Oryzias latipes: one gene and its partner. The protein of the gene in region 2 interacts with the protein of the main gene of each other region in a pairwise test. Links are inferred from orthologs where the notes say so. Each region holds a gene or a part of one and is shown on either strand. Other genes may lie near its edges. The genes, in order: khk and lhx9.

Region 1 (4,360 bases), on a different chromosome or scaffold from region 2:
TAAAATAGGCTAACCTACTGCGTAGCTCCCCGTAAAGGATCATCCCTTTGACACTTCCTGTTGCAAGAAAGTTTTTCCAAAGCAATTCATTGAGAATGTGTGACTCAATTGTCAAATTAGGTTTATCACATAACTGATTGTGAGGAGAGGTGAGTTCCAGGTCTTGAAAACCATGGAGGGGGGGGGGGGGGGCTGTTTGAGGGTTAGCAGAAGATGAAAAGTGTTCATGAGGAAAAAAAGCAGAGACAACATCGTGATGGGAAAGTAGGGGTGGCGGTGAGTGGTCTGACCTGAAATCGACTCTGGAAATGACTTCTTTACATTGTCTGGTATGCACATGGAGATCCAGTCACAGGGGAGATGTTGGGATCCCTGCCTCTGTTCCGGTTTGTTTTTCCTGCTCCACACCCTTCTCAGATGGAGTCACTTCCCTCATCAGACCAACGGCATAAAGCCCAGTTCCTCCAGCCACTCTGTGCCAGATTGTCCTCTTACTGACTCCAGTGCAGCTATTTGGATGGTTTGGCTGCAGAACTCACTGTTTGATCCTGACTGCCTGCCTGGCTCTCTGCCCATCTCCAAGCTCTCAATAAATTGTCATCCACCTGCTCTCTGCTGTTTTTTAACCATCCAGCCTTCTCCTTACAACAGGAACAGCTCAGTGGGATCAGAAAATGTAGCCCTGAACAACAGTGATTTCAGTCAGATGTGTCTGTCAATACTCACTCCGCGGTCAGACCAGCAGCCAGAGAGCCCATGAAGGCGCACGGAGCTCCAAGCAGCGACAGCACAGTGCAGGAGTTGGACGCGTTCCCGCCTCGCTGCCATCGCTGCGACAAACACCTGAACACAGGGGTCACACTCATCTGTAAACTCAGAAAACGTCAAGAAAACTTAGGGATAAACAAATGAAGAGAGTTTCTGGACAAAAAAAAGGTAAAGTCCTATCCATCCTTTAAGTTTTTTAGCATTTGCATTATTCCAGTTTTTACTGTTGTTTGGTAAATATTCTGAAGAAAACCAAAACGTTAACATGCAGCATGTCACCAGTACTCTTCATCAACAGGACTCATCCCATCCAGAACAAATGCAGTGACAGATTCTACTGTTCATACAAAATATTTAAGTGTATGTGACACTGTCTTTTATAATCACTCTTTTTTTTTTTGTTACTTTCTGTCTTGATGGTTCCACCTGAGACTGAGGTTTAACGCATTGGTATAACAAAATTGTATTATTTCTTTCTCAGTAACATCTAGAAAATTCAAACTGCTTTATTAACCGATGCTGAAAAACTGCTTTTCATTTGCTATCTAAACACTGTTGGTCTCATCTAAATGGGCATTTCATACAACAGGGATTCTGTAAACCAGTGGTCCCACAGACCGGATTAATGGCAGACAATATTTTCACAGACCGGTCCAAACAGGGCTGAAGTTGGCGTTTAATTTTTTTTAAACCTCAGGTTTCCAAAAAAACTACTTTTCAAACTAAAATGCTACTACTGTAAGTGCAGTTGTAAATTTAGTAATTATCATTTTGAGTAACATTTGTAGTTTAGGCCCTAAACTACATTAAATAAAAAGAAGTGGAGAAAATAGAGATCGGAGCAGGAACACATAGACAAAGAGCACCCCCAAATCATTTCAGAAGGTCCGGCAATTTAAGAGGCAGATAAATATTCTTGAAAAAATATGCTGAGACCAAGAGAACGAGCAGTCATTGGAAATTTGGTCGTTAAAGCTTTTATCAGACTATGAACATAACATTCTTCTTCACCAGATAACTGTGCAGTCAAAGGGTAATTGTGTCTTTTCCCAGAAAGCATTCAAAGATTTCTGTCGCCCTCCAGAGAAAATTCCAAAACCTTCACCTGTCTTTGAGGCTTAGAAGATGCGTTTCAAAAAACCAGGTTTCTATCCGTTTATGATCTTGAAATGCACATGTGGATGTATTTATGTCTGTTTGAAGGGGTAGAAGAGTCACGGCTCTCTTGTAAAACCAGTGTCAACGTAAAGATGGAATTGTTTGAAGTCCTGATTCTTGCCTTTATAACCCTGTGAGGGGCGGGGCTAAGGGTAAGCATAGTTGGCTTGCATTTGTCCTGAGAACGTCCTCTTCTAAGTTATCTTTTTACAGCAGCCTCATTATGTAAGCACTTAGCCCTGAAGGTCAGCACAGTTGTCCTGATGTGAGGCTGCGATGGTCCTCCAGCCACAGCACTCATGTTTGACCCCAGCCCAAACCCTGAACCCCAACCCCACTCAAACTGAACTGAACTTGTCAGAGCTGCGTTGCAACAGTTGAACATTTCACTGCTCAGATGATGATTTTTGGCAGCAGTTGGCGTTTATGACTGGTTAGCAGGTTAAACTTTGCCCCTGAGACACGATGAGTTGCAGATTTTCTTTAATGTGAGCTCAACAGACACTTAATAGCCATTAAAAAAAGAAGAAACCGGGGATCCACCTTCTCCCACGAGTGGCCAGGATAGGCTCCAGCAGCCCCGTGACCCCAAAAGGGACAAAACAGGTTTGGAAGATGAATGAATGACTACGGATCCACACTGATTAAATAAATTTTAGGACACATCAGTAGAACACAAAAGCTTTCTAAAAAACAATGTAGCTGCTTTCCACAACACAATTGGTTTACCAGAAGCATCAAAAGAGACAAAAGTGTGTATGTGCTGGCAGATCAGCTGATGGAAGAGTTTTGAGTGTGTGGCTGCTAGCCTGTGTGCTAACCTGCTGTCAGAGTCTTCCTCAGGGTATTTGTCCACCACGTTGATGATGTCAAGACACACCAGACCCACGCACAAGATCTTTTTCTGCTCCGCCATGCTCATCCGGTCTGTCCCTGTGTGTCCTCAGGCTGTCATGAACGCACACTGCAGCATGCTGCTCTTTCACACACTCACACACAGCTCATTTTCTTCCAGTCAAGCCACTACTAGCAGAACCAGCACTTCCTGTGAGCTAATCTACAAAATAAGAGCTTCCCTGGTACCAATGGAAACTGGTGACTCTGTAACATCTCTTACTACCTTTCATGCATCATAATCTTGATGTGGACTATTGACACCTTTGCAGTAAATTTTCATTCACAAGACCGCACTTTAGACCCAACCAGAACCAGTGAGCAGCCCCTCCTATATAACTGCATTGTGTGCATGATGTGTGTGGCATCATATAAACACGTAAGAGTTTGTCCAAGCCAATAACTGAAACCGTCCAATCACTTCCCTTCCAGACCACAGAAAGCTTTTCAGTAATACAAACTATGCAGAAGTTTATTCAAAATGTTTAGTTTGTAGCTTATAAATATAGACAGCAGAGGGAAGTGGTGGTTATGTCCGAGTCCTCAAAGTCATGGTTCACGAGTTAGAAACCCACTACTGTATTTTCAGTGTGCAGGTTATTTTTCCTTCCATAAAAGCTGAATTAACAGCTCAGGAAATTCATGAATGAATAAACGCTCCTGTCGATGCAGTGGAACAAAGTTCTCAGCTGTTTCAGGGGAGGAGCCAGCCAGTTGCATAAGGAGCAGCATTGCATCACTGCACAAACATTATTGCTTCAGTTTAGACGTCACTGTCACTGTCACTGTCAGAACATTTTCTGTTTGTTTTCCTGTGTGTCCTATAAGGTCCACCTGCCAAAAGGTGAGGATTTCATCTATGTCAGACCCCTTGGCCCGCAAGAGGGCTTCAAGGGCTAATGACACATTTAACGTGACGGGAAGTTTTACTTTTTTTTTGTTGTTTTATGAAGAATCTGCTGACGAAGCAAGGGCAGAACGTCCCCTACTGTATGCACTGACCTCTTGACTCTGCTGATTGCGAACTACAAAAACTACACACAAAGTCACGGTGGGTGCTAAAGCAAACATCCCCACAGTTTGTGGCAAAGCAACACCTGAAAAGAGATATAATCAAAACTAAAGGGCAAATGAACAAAAAGAAACAAACAACAAGCATATGAGTATTTTTTTATTCAACAAATGAATCAGGAGCAGATGAAAAATTGTAGTAGGAAAAGCTTGTAGGTGTGATGTAGGTGCTACAATGGGAAGATGACAATCCCCACTCCGCTCTACTCTGATGCATCCACTTGCAGACAAATAGTTAAAATTAAAAAAATAATTATGGATTAGATTTATCTGCAGTTTTGCACACGCTCAAAGCGCTTACATTGTGTTCAATATTCATTCACTCCTCATTCATACTTGGAGATGACAGAAGCATGGCTGCCAGTTCGCGCCTACGGTCCCTCTGACCATCACCATCATTCATACGCATTGATACAACAGTGATGCCGCACTGGATCCATGTATATCCATGATCCATGTATGTATATTT
Region 2 (4,582 bases):
ACACTCTGAAATGGATCCCTGCATTGCTGCATTATTGATGAGACACACTGTGATGTCAACCCAGGCTGAAGGAGCAAAGCAAAATGACTCTTAGCAGTGTGGCACATGATCATTTATGCAGGCAGTGCAACGGAGTAATTAATTGTCACCCTTTGCTCCCAGCAGCAGCGTTCACTAACACTGTATTCCCTTAACTTGTTGTCAATTGAAATTTGTCCATCTGTGCCTGAGAGGGTTGTTCTCCAGGAGGTTGATGGTTGGTTTGGGACACCCACTTTTCATGGTGACCCTGTCTTTTGTTGTGTTAACACTAAATACAGCAGGTGGAGACAACAGACACATTTTTTTCTTGTTCAAATTGTCAGATTAATCATCTGGAATAAAACAATCAGAAAAAATGTAAGTAATAATAATAATTCAGCTCTGAAAAACACAAATCACACAGAATTAGCACTTTTAATCTAACATAAACAGTATTTGAAATGAATTAATCCTTGAAATTGTTCATTTTTGTGATTTATTTAAAATTATCTTTAAAAGGAAGTCACATATGTGCAGAATAGTCCCCCAATTATTGCTATTAATTTGTATGAAAAATGTCACCTTGGTTCTGCAGGAAAGATGGCTACAGTCACTTCAGAGGTTGAGTATTGATTATTCCACAAATATTTTTCTTTTTTAAGTGTTTTTAAAAAATCAGAAATGCTTGTTTGTGTTCTCCAGAACCTTTTTTTTTCTTTAGAAATTGTGTAGGTTTTTTTCTGTTTTTGCATCCATAGCCATGTAATCCTCAACTTTTCCACAATTTTTAAATGTAAATAATAATCAAAATAAACGTTCTAAATGTAAATAATAATCAAAATAAACGTTTTAAAGAACCCTTTACTGTTTTGCTGTTTCCACGTCATTACTACGCTCAGACCCCCCCCCCCCCAAAAAAAAAAAAAAAAAATTAATGAGCACTTTTATTTCGAAGAGGCTTCAGATTTGGCATTTGGTCATTTTACGCGTTTGTGTGCTGGCGTGCGTGTCCGCGCCCCCACATCTTTGTCTGGCTGATTGATCCAGTTTGACTGTACACCCATATAATTAGGCTGCTTATTCACATAAACGTGCAGACAGTGAAACTGGAGCTGTAACTGCTCTCACTTGAGTTGCATTCAGCAAACGCACATATCATGTTACAGTTTGGTGACTATAAGCTGTGCGCTTTTGTTTTTAGTGCATAAAGATCTGCTTTAATGCAGAAAGAAAAATGTCATTCCAAAATAAAGAAAATACATCAATGATGTCAAGTTTTGGCACTAATTACATTTATGTTTGTATTCATAAATCGTTTGCCTTAAAAACTTAAGGGTCTTCCCGCATTTTGCGGTAAATCAGAAATTACAAACATAGTGGGCCAAGAGCTTGCCTTTTGTCAGTGTGTTGCGTTTAGGGTTGCATACGAGAGAGGAATATTTAAATGTCTTGTGTTTTAATTGACGCTCGAAGTGGAGGTGCGGTAACGAGGAACAGCCCCCCATACCGGCAGCTTCTCCTCTGCCTCCTATGCTGTGTGCGCACAGACCGCAGCCCGCCCGCCTGTCAGCCTGCACGCACGCAGCACAGAGGACTCACACACGCTGCGCAGCCTCAGGTAAGACCTTCTCTTCGGCTTCTTGGTCTTCGGGACAATTTAAAAAATGCCAAATTGGGTTGTTTTTGAGCGAAAAGCCGTCTGAAATCGAGCGATGGGTGCGCGTCAAGCAGCGCGCGACACATCTGGTGACAAAAAGAGCGACAGTGAATTCTGCAGGAGGATGTGCTGGAAGGTGAGGCCAAAGAAAGTATAGCGAGATCTCCATATTTTTTTCCATTCTTTAAAAAATATAAATATGAAATCCTTTTAGGTCTTTACCTAGTTTTTTTTCCTCCTTTGTACATAACATAATTTTTTCTTTTGCATTTCTTAGATTAAAAAGTGACGCTTTAGAAATAACAATACGCTATGTAATTTTGTAAATTTTGCATAATAATTTATTTGACAATAATATGATCTATGGTTGTTTTTTTTTATTTTTAACACTTGTGTATTTAATTTATTCGTTGTTTTTTCTTCTTCCATTTTTTGTTTAAAATGCCGTTTAATTTGCGCTCATTGCGTTGATGTTTTTCGCTGTTTTATTTCGTTAAACAAGGTCACAGCCCACATCCTAAATCAGGTCAAATCATTAACACTAACTAAAGCAAAAAAGGACACGCAACGTTTCAAAACCAGCATTAAATGTTTATTTATGATGCCACCATGGAGAAAACGTAGTTTCAACCATGAAGATTAAAAAAGTTCAAATTAATTGTCTTTTATTTTTGTGTTTATTTTTTAAATGTGTACGTTTTTGAAGGCAAAGTTCACCTTTTCCCTCAGCTTTCTGATAGTACAGTAATAGGATATTTTAAAGAAAAGATTAAACGCGTAAACTATATATCCTGTAATGTGTGGCAGCGTTCACATCTCAATTAGACAGAGAAATGAAAAACCCAAACAAAACAGCAGCACGTCCCTTTGATGTTCACTGAGACAATGTTAAAGCATCATCAGTCAAAAAGAAATGTCACCGCTGGAGGCGACGAGTCCAAACAGCACTTTTGCAACCATTTTTAAGGCGATTTGGGTTTTTACGCACACATTCGCATAAAAATATAGGAAAGAATATGCAAAACAATCCGCTTTGGAATAAATATAAGTGAGCCGGTTTTATCTTTTCTCTTGGGGCGTCTTTGTCCAGGTGACCTAACCCCCCACCCCCTCCTTAATTTTTTATTTGGCCCCTCCGACGAACAGCTGCGGGTCCAGTCCGTCCAGGAGGGCCGGAGCCTCGACTTTTGCTGCTGTTATCAAGGGGCTTCCAATTAGAGCCAGCACACCTCCATGATGTGTGTTTGTGTGCGGTAGGTGGAGGATGCAGGAGGAGGAGGGGTTCACATGATAATGTTACGCGTCCTAAGATGAAGCATCCACACCTGCAACCCACCCCCACCCCGAGCCTCTGTCTATTATTGGACAGAAAGTCTCGGCAAAATCCAGAAAACTGATGTGTCTAGAGTTTATCCCCCTGATTTCAGCTAAAGGCCTGCTTTGTGATTGTCACAATCACTCTTATGGTTAGTTATTATGGTTAGTTGTCACCATGCTTGGCCTTTACTGGACGCTAAAAAAAAAATCCCTTTTTTATTTGCGTAACAGAGTGTTCACACCCTTTAAACGCAACACTGATATTTCCTTTGGCTTTATCCTTCCATGTTTCACATAGAGGATAGTTAATGGATTTTCTTAACGCTTACATTTCTTGAAATATGCACAAAAAAACTGCTTATGGTTCCCCTGTGGCGACCACCAACTGGAGGTCTACTTTTATCTCTCATCTCCCTCCAAAACCCAGTTTGTAGCAAAGACTGCAAGACAAATTAAATCCAGTTTGGGTTGTCAGTTCAACTCTCCTGCAGGTAAACAAGGTTTTGGCCTCATTTACAGAGAGAGGGAAGACGGGATTTAGTAATATTATTATTATTATTACTATTATTATTATTATTACTATTATTCAGGGTGGGAAATTGGAGTTTATAAAAATAAAATAAGAATAATTCAAAAATAAAAGCATCAAAGTAGAAGCTTACAAAAAACATTTTTTAATGGAATTTTTTCCCTTCATATTTAATCTTAGTAGTCCCCGCCCCCGCTTGTTACTGATCACTGTCCCGCCCCAGACAATGAATTTATGACCCCCCCCCCCCCCCTCCTCCACACACACTCTCACCCCATCATTACACTAATTAGGGACATCCAAACACCTGATTCGGGTCAATTCTGGTTCATCAAAACCCAAATGAAACCAATTAGGAAGACACGTTTTAAAAAACAAAACAAAAAAATTAAAAAACACATTTCTTCTCCTGTTTTAAACCATTATTATGTTTGTGTTTTAACACTTACACGATGAAAAAGTATTAGGCCAATCTTCTATATAAGATTATTTGTGCAATAGTAGGTTTTCATGAAATAATAGCAGCGGTGGAAATGTAAATTCCATACAGCAATTGTCCTGAACGCGGCCAGAATCTGGAGATTTTTTTAGGGTAGAGTGACAGCTCTTTGTTGAAAATCGGTAGGAGAGAGGTTGAGAGACAGGCGCGGAGCGAGAGGAGAGAGGGAGAGAAAAGGAGGAGAGGAGAAGGAGAAGGAACTCCTCCTACCAAATTATTCAGACTGGGCCGGCTCTGCTCTCTTCTCAAATAGGACACGGCTCTCAAATGCAGGCAGTCCCAACCTGACCTCCGCGCGCAGAGGAACCTCCTGACTGGGAACTCGGGAAGGAGAAATCCCCCAAAAAAAAGAAAAGAAAAAGAGGAGGGGGTGCAAAAACTTTGTCACCATTTTTTTAATGCGAGTTCTCAGGCGGTAGCCGCCGCCCCCCTCCCCTTCTCCCTCCCTCCCCAGCACCATCACTTCCACATTGGTTTTGTCGCATCATCTGGACTATATACTTTTTTTCCCTCTTTTATTCTGCTGGACATTCACGAGAGGAGCAGGAAAGGGACTGAT

Evidence for each region.
Region 1: the proteins of lhx9 (region 2) and khk interact in binary tests that used the Homo sapiens proteins (3 or more experiments, as listed by UniProt). The two-hybrid records come from large-scale screens. The link is inferred for Oryzias latipes from reciprocal best matches to the Homo sapiens genes LHX9 and KHK.

What each region holds. Positions count from the first base shown.
Region 1 is NC_019863.2:25,263,832-25,268,191, reverse strand, and holds the start of khk (ketohexokinase), read right to left. Parts: upstream 2,961-4,360; 5' UTR 2,849-2,960; coding exon 2,748-2,848; intron 844-2,747; coding exon 727-843; intron 1-726. UniProt on the Homo sapiens protein: Catalyzes the phosphorylation of the ketose sugar fructose to fructose-1-phosphate.
Region 2 is NC_019862.2:14,399,618-14,404,199, forward strand, and holds the start of lhx9 (LIM/homeobox protein Lhx9), read left to right. Parts: upstream 1-1,511; 5' UTR 1,512-1,639; intron 1,640-4,006; exon of another isoform or gene 4,007-4,582. UniProt on the Homo sapiens protein: Involved in gonadal development.